2 linked regions of the Coturnix japonica genome follow. The protein of the gene in region 1 binds, or shares a complex with, the protein of each later gene. Links are inferred from orthologs where the notes say so. Each region holds a gene or a part of one and is shown on either strand. Other genes may lie near its edges.

The links. The genes of interacting proteins can lie anywhere in the genome.
Region 2: the proteins of PHF2 (region 1) and VRK1 are in contact, whole or in part, in a crystal structure (PDB 8F8Y), measured with the Homo sapiens proteins. The link is inferred for Coturnix japonica from reciprocal best matches to the Homo sapiens genes PHF2 and VRK1. Residues at the interface, in NP_005383.3 of Homo sapiens: Tyr7, Tyr14, Val16, Thr17, Arg18, Phe19, Met20, Ile21, Glu22, Trp29, Glu39, Ala42, Ile45, Asp46, Tyr48, Lys64, Tyr145, Ser147, Glu150, Lys175, Val178, Asp179, Tyr182, Ser183, Thr184; in NP_003375.1 of Homo sapiens: Pro2, Arg3, Val4, Lys5, Ala6, Ala7, Gln8.

Annotation. Positions count from the first base shown.
Region 1 is NC_029527.1:4,437,610-4,441,848, forward strand, and holds the start of PHF2 (lysine-specific demethylase PHF2), read right to left. Parts: upstream 2,811-4,239; 5' UTR 2,709-2,810; coding exon 2,694-2,708; exon of another isoform or gene 2,640-2,693; intron 2,316-2,639; coding exon 2,128-2,315; intron 1-2,127. UniProt on the Homo sapiens protein: Lysine demethylase that demethylates both histones and non-histone proteins. Enzymatically inactive by itself, and becomes active following phosphorylation by PKA: forms a complex with ARID5B and mediates demethylation of methylated ARID5B.
Region 2 is NC_029520.1:42,292,092-42,296,245, reverse strand, and holds the start of VRK1 (serine/threonine-protein kinase VRK1), read right to left. Parts: upstream 2,803-4,154; 5' UTR 2,707-2,802; intron 1,945-2,706; exon of another isoform or gene 1,776-1,944; intron 1-1,775. UniProt on the Homo sapiens protein: Serine/threonine kinase involved in the regulation of key cellular processes including the cell cycle, nuclear condensation, transcription regulation, and DNA damage response.

The DNA of each region.
Region 1 (4,239 bases):
CCTGAAGGCCCCAACAACCCGGCCTGGCCCTCCCAGCACTCCTTCAGGACACATTGCAGTGTGGTCACTTTCCAACTGTGGTGACAGCTTAGCTCTGCTTGCAGCTTCTAAGTGGCACTGAGCAAATTTAACTTATTTTTCACCTTTGAATCATACAAATGTACCATCAGGACTGTTGAAGTGCCACAGAGATGTCAGCCAGCATTAGGAGGGATGGGGACCACAGCTGCTGTGTGAACAGAACCCTGTAGAAGCAGGTGCTGGAATATCTGGAAGCTACTGTCAGGGAGGAAGCACGAAACCCCTGATCTGCTTCTATAGAACTGAAACAGGAACAGCTTTATTATTTTTCCCTGCAATGTGCTGTGTGTGTGTTTTAAGTGGGCAAACCTCTGTGAGAGCTCAGAGCTTTGCACACTCAGTCACTTTAGTTACAGTACAGTACCTATACAGGTATTAACACCAACAGTGCTTTGAGCACCCAGGAAAGAGACAACTCTCCATGACCAAATCCCGATGTCTATATTGAGCTGATGATTTATTGGCTCATACAGTACCGAGCAAATCAAACAGGGACAGATACAGGTGGTTTCTTACTCCATCAGCCACCTCGCTTCCCCAATAATTTAAGGTTCCCTTGGAGAACGGTCGCCTCGGTTTTGCTCACTGTAAAACCCACCTCTGGGGGCTACTTTTGGGCTGAGCACAGGCCCTTTGCCCCCTCTGTAGGTCAGATCCCCTGACAGCCTCACAGCCTCACCGCAGAGCCCAGCACCATCCCCGGGACACACGGCAGATGCTGGCACATCACTGTCCTGCTCGGGTACAACCAGCATCGCTTCCAGCTCACATCTCACAGCAAAGCTGGGCGCTCAATCCTCGAGTCCCTCCCCAACTTCCTCACCTCGAGCAGAGGAGGAAGGAGAAAAAAGAAACAAAACCGAATAACCAACAACCCCGAAGTTCAGTTTCACGCAGCATTAACTCAAGTGCGCCCGCTCTGCCATTGTCTCCCGCACAACAGCCCGCCCGCTCTCGCTTTCCATGACAAAGCTTTAGGGCGAAATGAATCTAGGGCCGAAGTCCTCCTTTGTCCGCCCTAAACAAACTCCCCCGGCGGCATCGCGGGGCCCTTCGGCGGCTGCGGGGCGGGGGGCAACGCATGGAGCCCCTCCTTCTCCGCTTCCCTACGAGGCGGGGGCCGTGCGGAGCGGGGCGGGCTCGGTGCTGCCGGGGTTTTCCCCGCACGGCCGCCGCCGCCGCCGCCCCGCCTCAGGGCCGGCTCTCTCCCTCCCCTCCCGCCCCCATCGGCTCCCGGCTCGGAGGGGCTTCCCCTCGCCCTGCGGAGCCTCCGCGGCCCCGCGTTTCCCCTCCGCCCGTTCCGCGCCCCGCCCCGCCGCCCCGTTAAGGGTTAAAGCCGCAGGGCCGGCCCGGAGATGGCAGCCCTGTCAGACGGGAAACACCCGGCTGCCCCGACAGGGCCGTGGAGCGCGGCGGCGGGGCTCGTAGGGGGGGGTGAGATCCCCGAGAGGGTGAGGCTCGCCCGGCCCGGAGCTCCGGGCGTGGAGCCCGCTGACAGCGCGGCCGAGACCCGGGACGCTGAGCCCTCTCCCCTCCGCTCCGTGTCCGTAACGGGAGGTTGCGGGACGCGGCCCGACCTCTCCCGACCGGCGGAGCGGCCCCATAGCCGGGCTCATACAGCCGGCAGCCGGCGGCACGGTCCGCGCTCCGCTCCGCGCACCCCACGGCGCTCGCCCCGAGGAAAGAAGCACAATGTCCCCCCCCCCCCATCCATAACCACCATCACCCCAATGACACCGGAGCCCCGGGGAGGAAGGGGGGGGTGGGGGGGGGGAGCTTTGTGCGGGGAATTGAAGGCAAATTTACAAAACAAAACAAAAAAAAAATACAACGCGGAGGGAGAGAGAGACGGGGGCAGAGTGGCTCCTCCTCCTCCTCTCCAAAAAGGCCTGTTGGAAAACTGCACACGGCGGCGGCTCCAACGGCACCATCGCCGCGCTCTGCCCTGGAGAGAAAAGGAGGCGAAAGGCACCGAGCGAGAGGAGGAGGAGGAGGAGGGGGAGACCGCGGCGAAAGGGGGGAAAAGGCCCGATCTCTTTGTGTTACCTGCCGTGAAACCAGTCCTTGCAGGCATCGCACTCGATCATGAAGCGGGTTACGTCGTAGGGCAGCCTACAGATGCAATAGACGGGCACCGTCGCCATGTTAGCTCCCTTCAAAACAACACCGGACTCGCGGAGAGGCGAGCGGGGCTGGCGGCGGCTCCTGCCGCTCGGTAGCTTTGGCGGCTGCTCCTTCCGAAACGCGAGCGAATTTGCGATGTCGAGAGACGGAGCGGGAAAAAGGGGGGGGAGGTGGGGGGGGGGGAAGGGGGAGAAAGAAGGGGGGAAAAAAGAAAAAAAAAAATCAGATAATGCAATTACGGCTCCTCAAGGGCGAGCGAGCAATGTCAGAAAAATAAGAAAGGGCTTCGCAAAGTTTGGCTGCATGGTTCCTCCGGCTCCGCGAGCGCCGACCGGACCGGGGCTTTTTTTGTTGTTGTTGTTGTTAAATGATTATTATTCAAAATGTTTGGCGAAATGCATTCTATTGCATGCCCCCTGGTGACAGTACAGTACCGAGGCTTTTCATAAACACTCCGAAATGTAGCCCTTTCCTTGTAATGTCCTTACGTCAGCTTGCAACATTGCAATATTTCCTCTGCTGGGGCTGGGGCTGGGGCGGGCGGCGGCGGAGGGGGAGGCGAAGCGAAACGAGGCGGCAGCTCAGAGCTCGGCGCCGGGGGCAGAGCGCGGCCGGGAGGGAACCGCGGTGAGTCGGGCTGAGCGCTGCGGGGCTCCGCGCTCCGGTTTGGGGGGGGGATGGAGGGGATGGAGGGGATGGAGGGGAAGGGGAGCGGGGACTCGGTAAAGAAAGTGGCCTGGGTGAGGCGGGGCGGGGCGGGGAGCGCTGCGGGACGGGGCACGGAACGAAGGGAGCGCTGAGTGTGTCGCTGCTCCGAGTGTGTGTGCCCCGACAGTGCGAGTCCTGAGAGGCAGGAGAACCTCCAAGAGACTGAAGGCACCGCTATGTGCTGAGAGCGGGGAGAGAGAGCAGGAGGTGGAGGGGCCTCGGAACACAACGTGGTGGTTACTATTAAAAATGGACAGAAAGAAAGAAAGAAAGAAAGAAGTAAAACAATTTGTTTGTTGGAATTATATTATAGGCTTGGCACCACCTCCGTTCGTGCCAACTCTGGGCTGCTTCCCCAGAGCTGCAGGTAAAAACCCTGCACCTACACAGAGCCACAGGCTGCAGGGTACATGCTAAAGGCCACCTGCACCACTGCTCCTGTGAGCTGCAAAAACCCAACACCACGGTGCTCTTGGATGAGTGAGCCGCAGGGGTGAAGGCAAAAGGGGAATCTTTGAGTTTGAGCTGAGATTGAGAACACACAACTTCTCCCCCTCCCACTGCACAGAGTCCGAAGAGCCCTCTGGGTGGCTTTGGAAGGCACGATGCAGGGCATTCTGCTGGGACACACACCCTGAGCATCTTCAACAGCTGCTGACTCGAGTCCCTTCGAAGTATGAGAACATCATGTAAAGCAGTCACAGAGTGTCCCAGCTGATGTGCAAGTGCCAGTTACGACAGATCTGGTGTCTCGAATCCATCTCATTTTTGAAGAGAGGACAGTATCAGTCCTAGAGCAAAAAGAGAAAAACAGGCATTTCTTGGTGGTTTTTTAGCAGTCTGCCAAATCAGAAATCATCCTGTAGGGGACAAAGGAAATTCAAGGGCCCAAATATCTTTGGGTTTTGCAGTGTCAAGAGACAAAGCAGAGATACTGCTCGCCTTGCCCCTTGGATTGATGTGGCACACGGAGCTGTGTGAACTAGTGCTGGGAATGGCATTCCTGGGCCCAACATGAATGTTTATGAGTGAAACTGAATTTCTGGCATAGCTCAAGGTGTGGTAACATGGGACTGAGATTATAGGCCTACATCATGACTCAGTTGTTTTGAACGACATCTTGAGATGCACTAAGTGTCTGTTATCCTCAGTGCTGAGTGGCAAAAGTCTACACCTGTGAAGAAACCAGACCCCATTTCAGCCTGAATTGAACTACTGAGATTTTAATTGCTCAGTGTTTCCACTAGAAAAGTATTAGAACAAGTCTAGGGTGTAACTTGGGCTCACATTGTAACAGGAGAGGTTCAGGTTGGATATTAGGAAAAA
Region 2 (4,154 bases), on another chromosome or scaffold:
ACTCAAAGGCATTCTACTGATTGAAAGCTGAAAGACCTTTAGAGAGCAAAATCTTCCTACGTTAAAAGTACAAAACTGAAAAACAAAATAGATAGCAAAAGATTTAAAAAATAAATAAACAGATTCTGAGATTGTAGCACGAATTCTGCCATTCTACGTTTTTGTCAGCTCACAAAACACCAAAGATGAGGCTTTTGTCAGGAAACTTATGAACCTGCGAATCTAATGCAGAACTGCCCGCCTGTACTTTCAACAGCTGAAATACAGTCATCTACTCTTCCCTGGAATCATCTTTAAAATTACATTTTCAAAAATTACCTTTCCCTTTCCTGCAACTCAATTACACTTCCCCATCAGCAAACGGAACTATTTTCTATTTTACAGGCATCATGAAGCTCAGTTCATTAGTGCCCGCTACCATCTGAGTTCCCTGAAAAGGTTGCCATAGATGTCAAGTAGTACATCGTCACACAAGCATCAAATAGATAGGACCCCACTTAGCTAAGGTACCCGATAAGAACAAGGTGTGCGACTGTAAACAGCAGCATTTTATGTGGTTACACTGTGTTCCAGACAAAGACCTGACTTCCAACAAATGTAAACAGCCAAAGTCTATTTGCCTAAAATCTCGCTGGAAGATTCTCAGTAACATTAAGGCAATTTCTTCTTCTCCTTCCTAAAAAAAGCATCTTGGATGAAATAAAATAAACCATGCTTGAGATATGCAGACAGTTTTGTACCGGTAGTGCCAGAAGTATTGTTAGCTTTACAAATGTCATCTACAGCAGCTGTAACTCTAGGTATAATTAAACTCTTAGAAGAAACTTAAGTAGCCACTTCTGAATTTGTGCTGGCGTCCATTTGCAATGAAACTTTGTAATTAACATACATCCAATTTATTTTGAAGGATGTAATTCTGCTGTGTGGCAAGTAAGACTGATTTCCTCATGATCTTTCTTTTCGCTCTCTAGAAATTGTCTTTTTTATTAATGGTGATCTCAACTGGGCCCATTTTCACTCCCAACAGTGAGAAGTCATGCTGCTGACCTGTGCTCCTGTTCATGAACAGACAATTCCGGAAATACCTTTAACATACGTGTTTATTAATAACGTTCATCAGTCATGGCAAGACATCTAGGTCTGACTGAGGGATTATTCTTGAAAACGAAGGAGATAATTTATTCACACAAAGAAGGCACCAGTCTTTTGACACAGTAATAACTACAGGAAGTCTCACAAAAGTTTGCATATTATTGTTAATGATATAGAAGGACTGTGTATCACTGTGAAATAATTAAATAAATTTAAAAAAAAGCCTTAAGCACAAGCTGAAAACCCAAGAAGACAACCAAGTTGAACACGTCTGCCATTGCACCTCAAAGAGAAATGCAAAGGGCAAGACGTGGGAAATGAAAACCACAACTACTGCCAGAACCAGCTTAGTCCAGTTGTTACACAACTACCCTGATCCTAAAGCCAATGATCAGTGACTTGGAGGTTTGTATGTAAGAGGAATACCATGTAGATAACTCTGAAAGTAATGCCTCCTATTTATTTCCATGGAAACTTCGACAGACACAAAGCGCACATTACCACTCAGCTGATAGAGCAGATTCTCCACTCTAAAAGACTGTTTTTCAACACAGTCATCACCATGAGCTGTGCATTTTTGCCTGCAATAAACAAGAGCCTGCATGCCACACTGCTAACAATTTGCACCAAAGGAGGTGACTCACTGCTGAAACACACTACCCACCGCTCAGCTGCACTCTCACCTGCTATTTGGTTTGCAGAAACGTTCAGCAAACAGCAGTGAATGACAGTGGGTGCCATTTTTTCTACATGGAGGAATTCAGTGATGTATGTATGCTTACTGAACAGCAAAGCTCAGAAATGCTTTGCAGCCATGGCAGTATTTAGTGCGTTGGCCACGCAGGGATCCTCCTGCAGGTGACAATCACAGAATCACAGAATTATCCGGGTTGGAAGGGACCTCAAGGATCATGTAGTTCCAACCCCCTGCCTGGCAGGGCCACCAAACATACTAACTTTACTAGATCAGGTTGCCCAGGGCCCCGTCCAACCTGGTCTTGAACACCTCCAAGGACGGGGCATCCACAACCTCCCTGGGCAGCCTGTTCCAGGGCCTCACCACTCTCCTAGTGAAGAACTTCCCCCTGACATCCAACCTAAATCTTCCCTCTTTTAACTTAAAACCATTTCCCCGTGTCCTGCTATTATCAGCCCTTTCGAAGAGTTTACTCCTCTCCTGGGAGTAAGTTCCCTTCAGGTATTGAAAGGCTGCAATGAGGTCACCCCGCAACCTTCTCTTCTCTAGGCTGAACAAGACAAGCTGCTGCCGACACTTTTCCTCCTCCCTCACCTCACCAACATGAAGGAAAGCCCTGTAGGCCCCGCCGCCAAATAAAAGCAGCACAGACGACGAGGAAGCTGCAGGAGCTGGAAGCCTCCGCTCTCCTCACGCTGCCGGCCCGGACAGGCTCCCCCGGTTTGGAACGGCAGAAGGCCTCATGTACTACCCAAAAAGGGAAACGAGAGAGCCCAGACGCAGACCTGCCAGCACGGAGGAGGCAGGGCAGGCCGAAAGCGAGGGGGGAAGGCGGCCCAGAGCTCGGAGCCTAAAGAAAGACGAGTAAAAAGAAGAAGAAAACGCAGCGACCCCAACTTAGCCGCCGCTCGTGGTACCTCGTCCTGCCCCAGGCCCAGCCGCTCCTTCCGCACCGTCCGAAATTCCCGCACTGCCCGCAGCTCTCCAGCGACCCGCCCGCCCCACCGCCCACATCCCAGTATCGCTCATGTCCATTGGATACAGCCGCTCTGCCGGTCCGCCCCTCCTGGAACGCGGGACATGATGGGAGGTGCAGTCCCTGAGCTCGCTCTCCAAGAGCTGTCTTTACACAGTGTGTTCAGCACGAGATTCCTTTGAAAGCTTACGCTAAATTGGGAATAATAGAAATCTACACTAGGCATCCTGCAGATATTTAAGGATCCGAGCTATTCTGAATGCTGCTGAATCTTACTTCACCCAAAAGACTGCTCAGAAGAAGTGGAACATGCTCCCACATGAACCTGGAGAAGATTGAGATAGGACCTTAAAACTTAATACTATCTGGTTAATACCAGACTACTGGGGTCATAAAAAACATTTCAAGTTGCCAATATGGAAAACAGAGTGAGAAATTTAATTAATATTCAAATTCTACACACTAATCCCGTTTTAATTTAATATGATTTAGTTGCTCTTAGTTCCAAAACAAAATTATCTGAACTGCAGAGAAAAGATGATCTTCAGAATGACATTCTGAAAACGGTCTTGAGAACAAGGCCGTAGAGACTTAAAGTAATGTTATAAATGCTATCCCATCTAAAGTTGGTACAGAAAACTTTCTCACATAAAGAGAGAAGCCCAGACCTCTGATTTTAGTCTGTTTGGCCTGAAAAATCAATTCAGTTTCAAGCAAAAGTTACATATATGATACACAAATCCTGTTTCTTTTCCTCAGAGCAGAGACTTTTCTTGTATTATCCTTCTGTACACTAAGGGTTGGGCTTTTGTTTAGCCAGTGTGAATGCATCTGCTTTAATACTGCTATAGCAGGAGATTCAAGAGTTAACTACATCCCACAACTCTTCTTGGATGACCACTGCATACTATTAATTTTTTGACAAGATTTCAGAAAAAGCAGGTATTGACCAAACTATCAAAACATTGTATGGGTTTCTCATTATCATGTAATGTGTAGTAAGTGGATTCCTGGAATGCACTGACTGCAACTTTCAAACATGCTTTTAAAATTATCTTAGATTTGGTAATTGTGTTCGATTCTCCTCCGCAGAAAGGATGTTCAATCTTTTCAATTAAAGATCTCTAATCTTAAACAAAACGAGTAATCCAATATATGTGTGCACTACAAGTATAGCAGTTAAGGGTTTGAATGCTGCCTTAGAGTAGCGTTAAATACCCTATATACATATCGCACTATATTATTCAAGCAGTTGGATACTTTAGCTATGAAAGATAAAGAATCACATCTCCAATATAGTTCTACAAGAATGTCTGAAATGATAGAGATCGAACTACAGCATGAATCCTTCTAAGCTGGCATCTCATAAAATAAACTGGTTAACTTTGA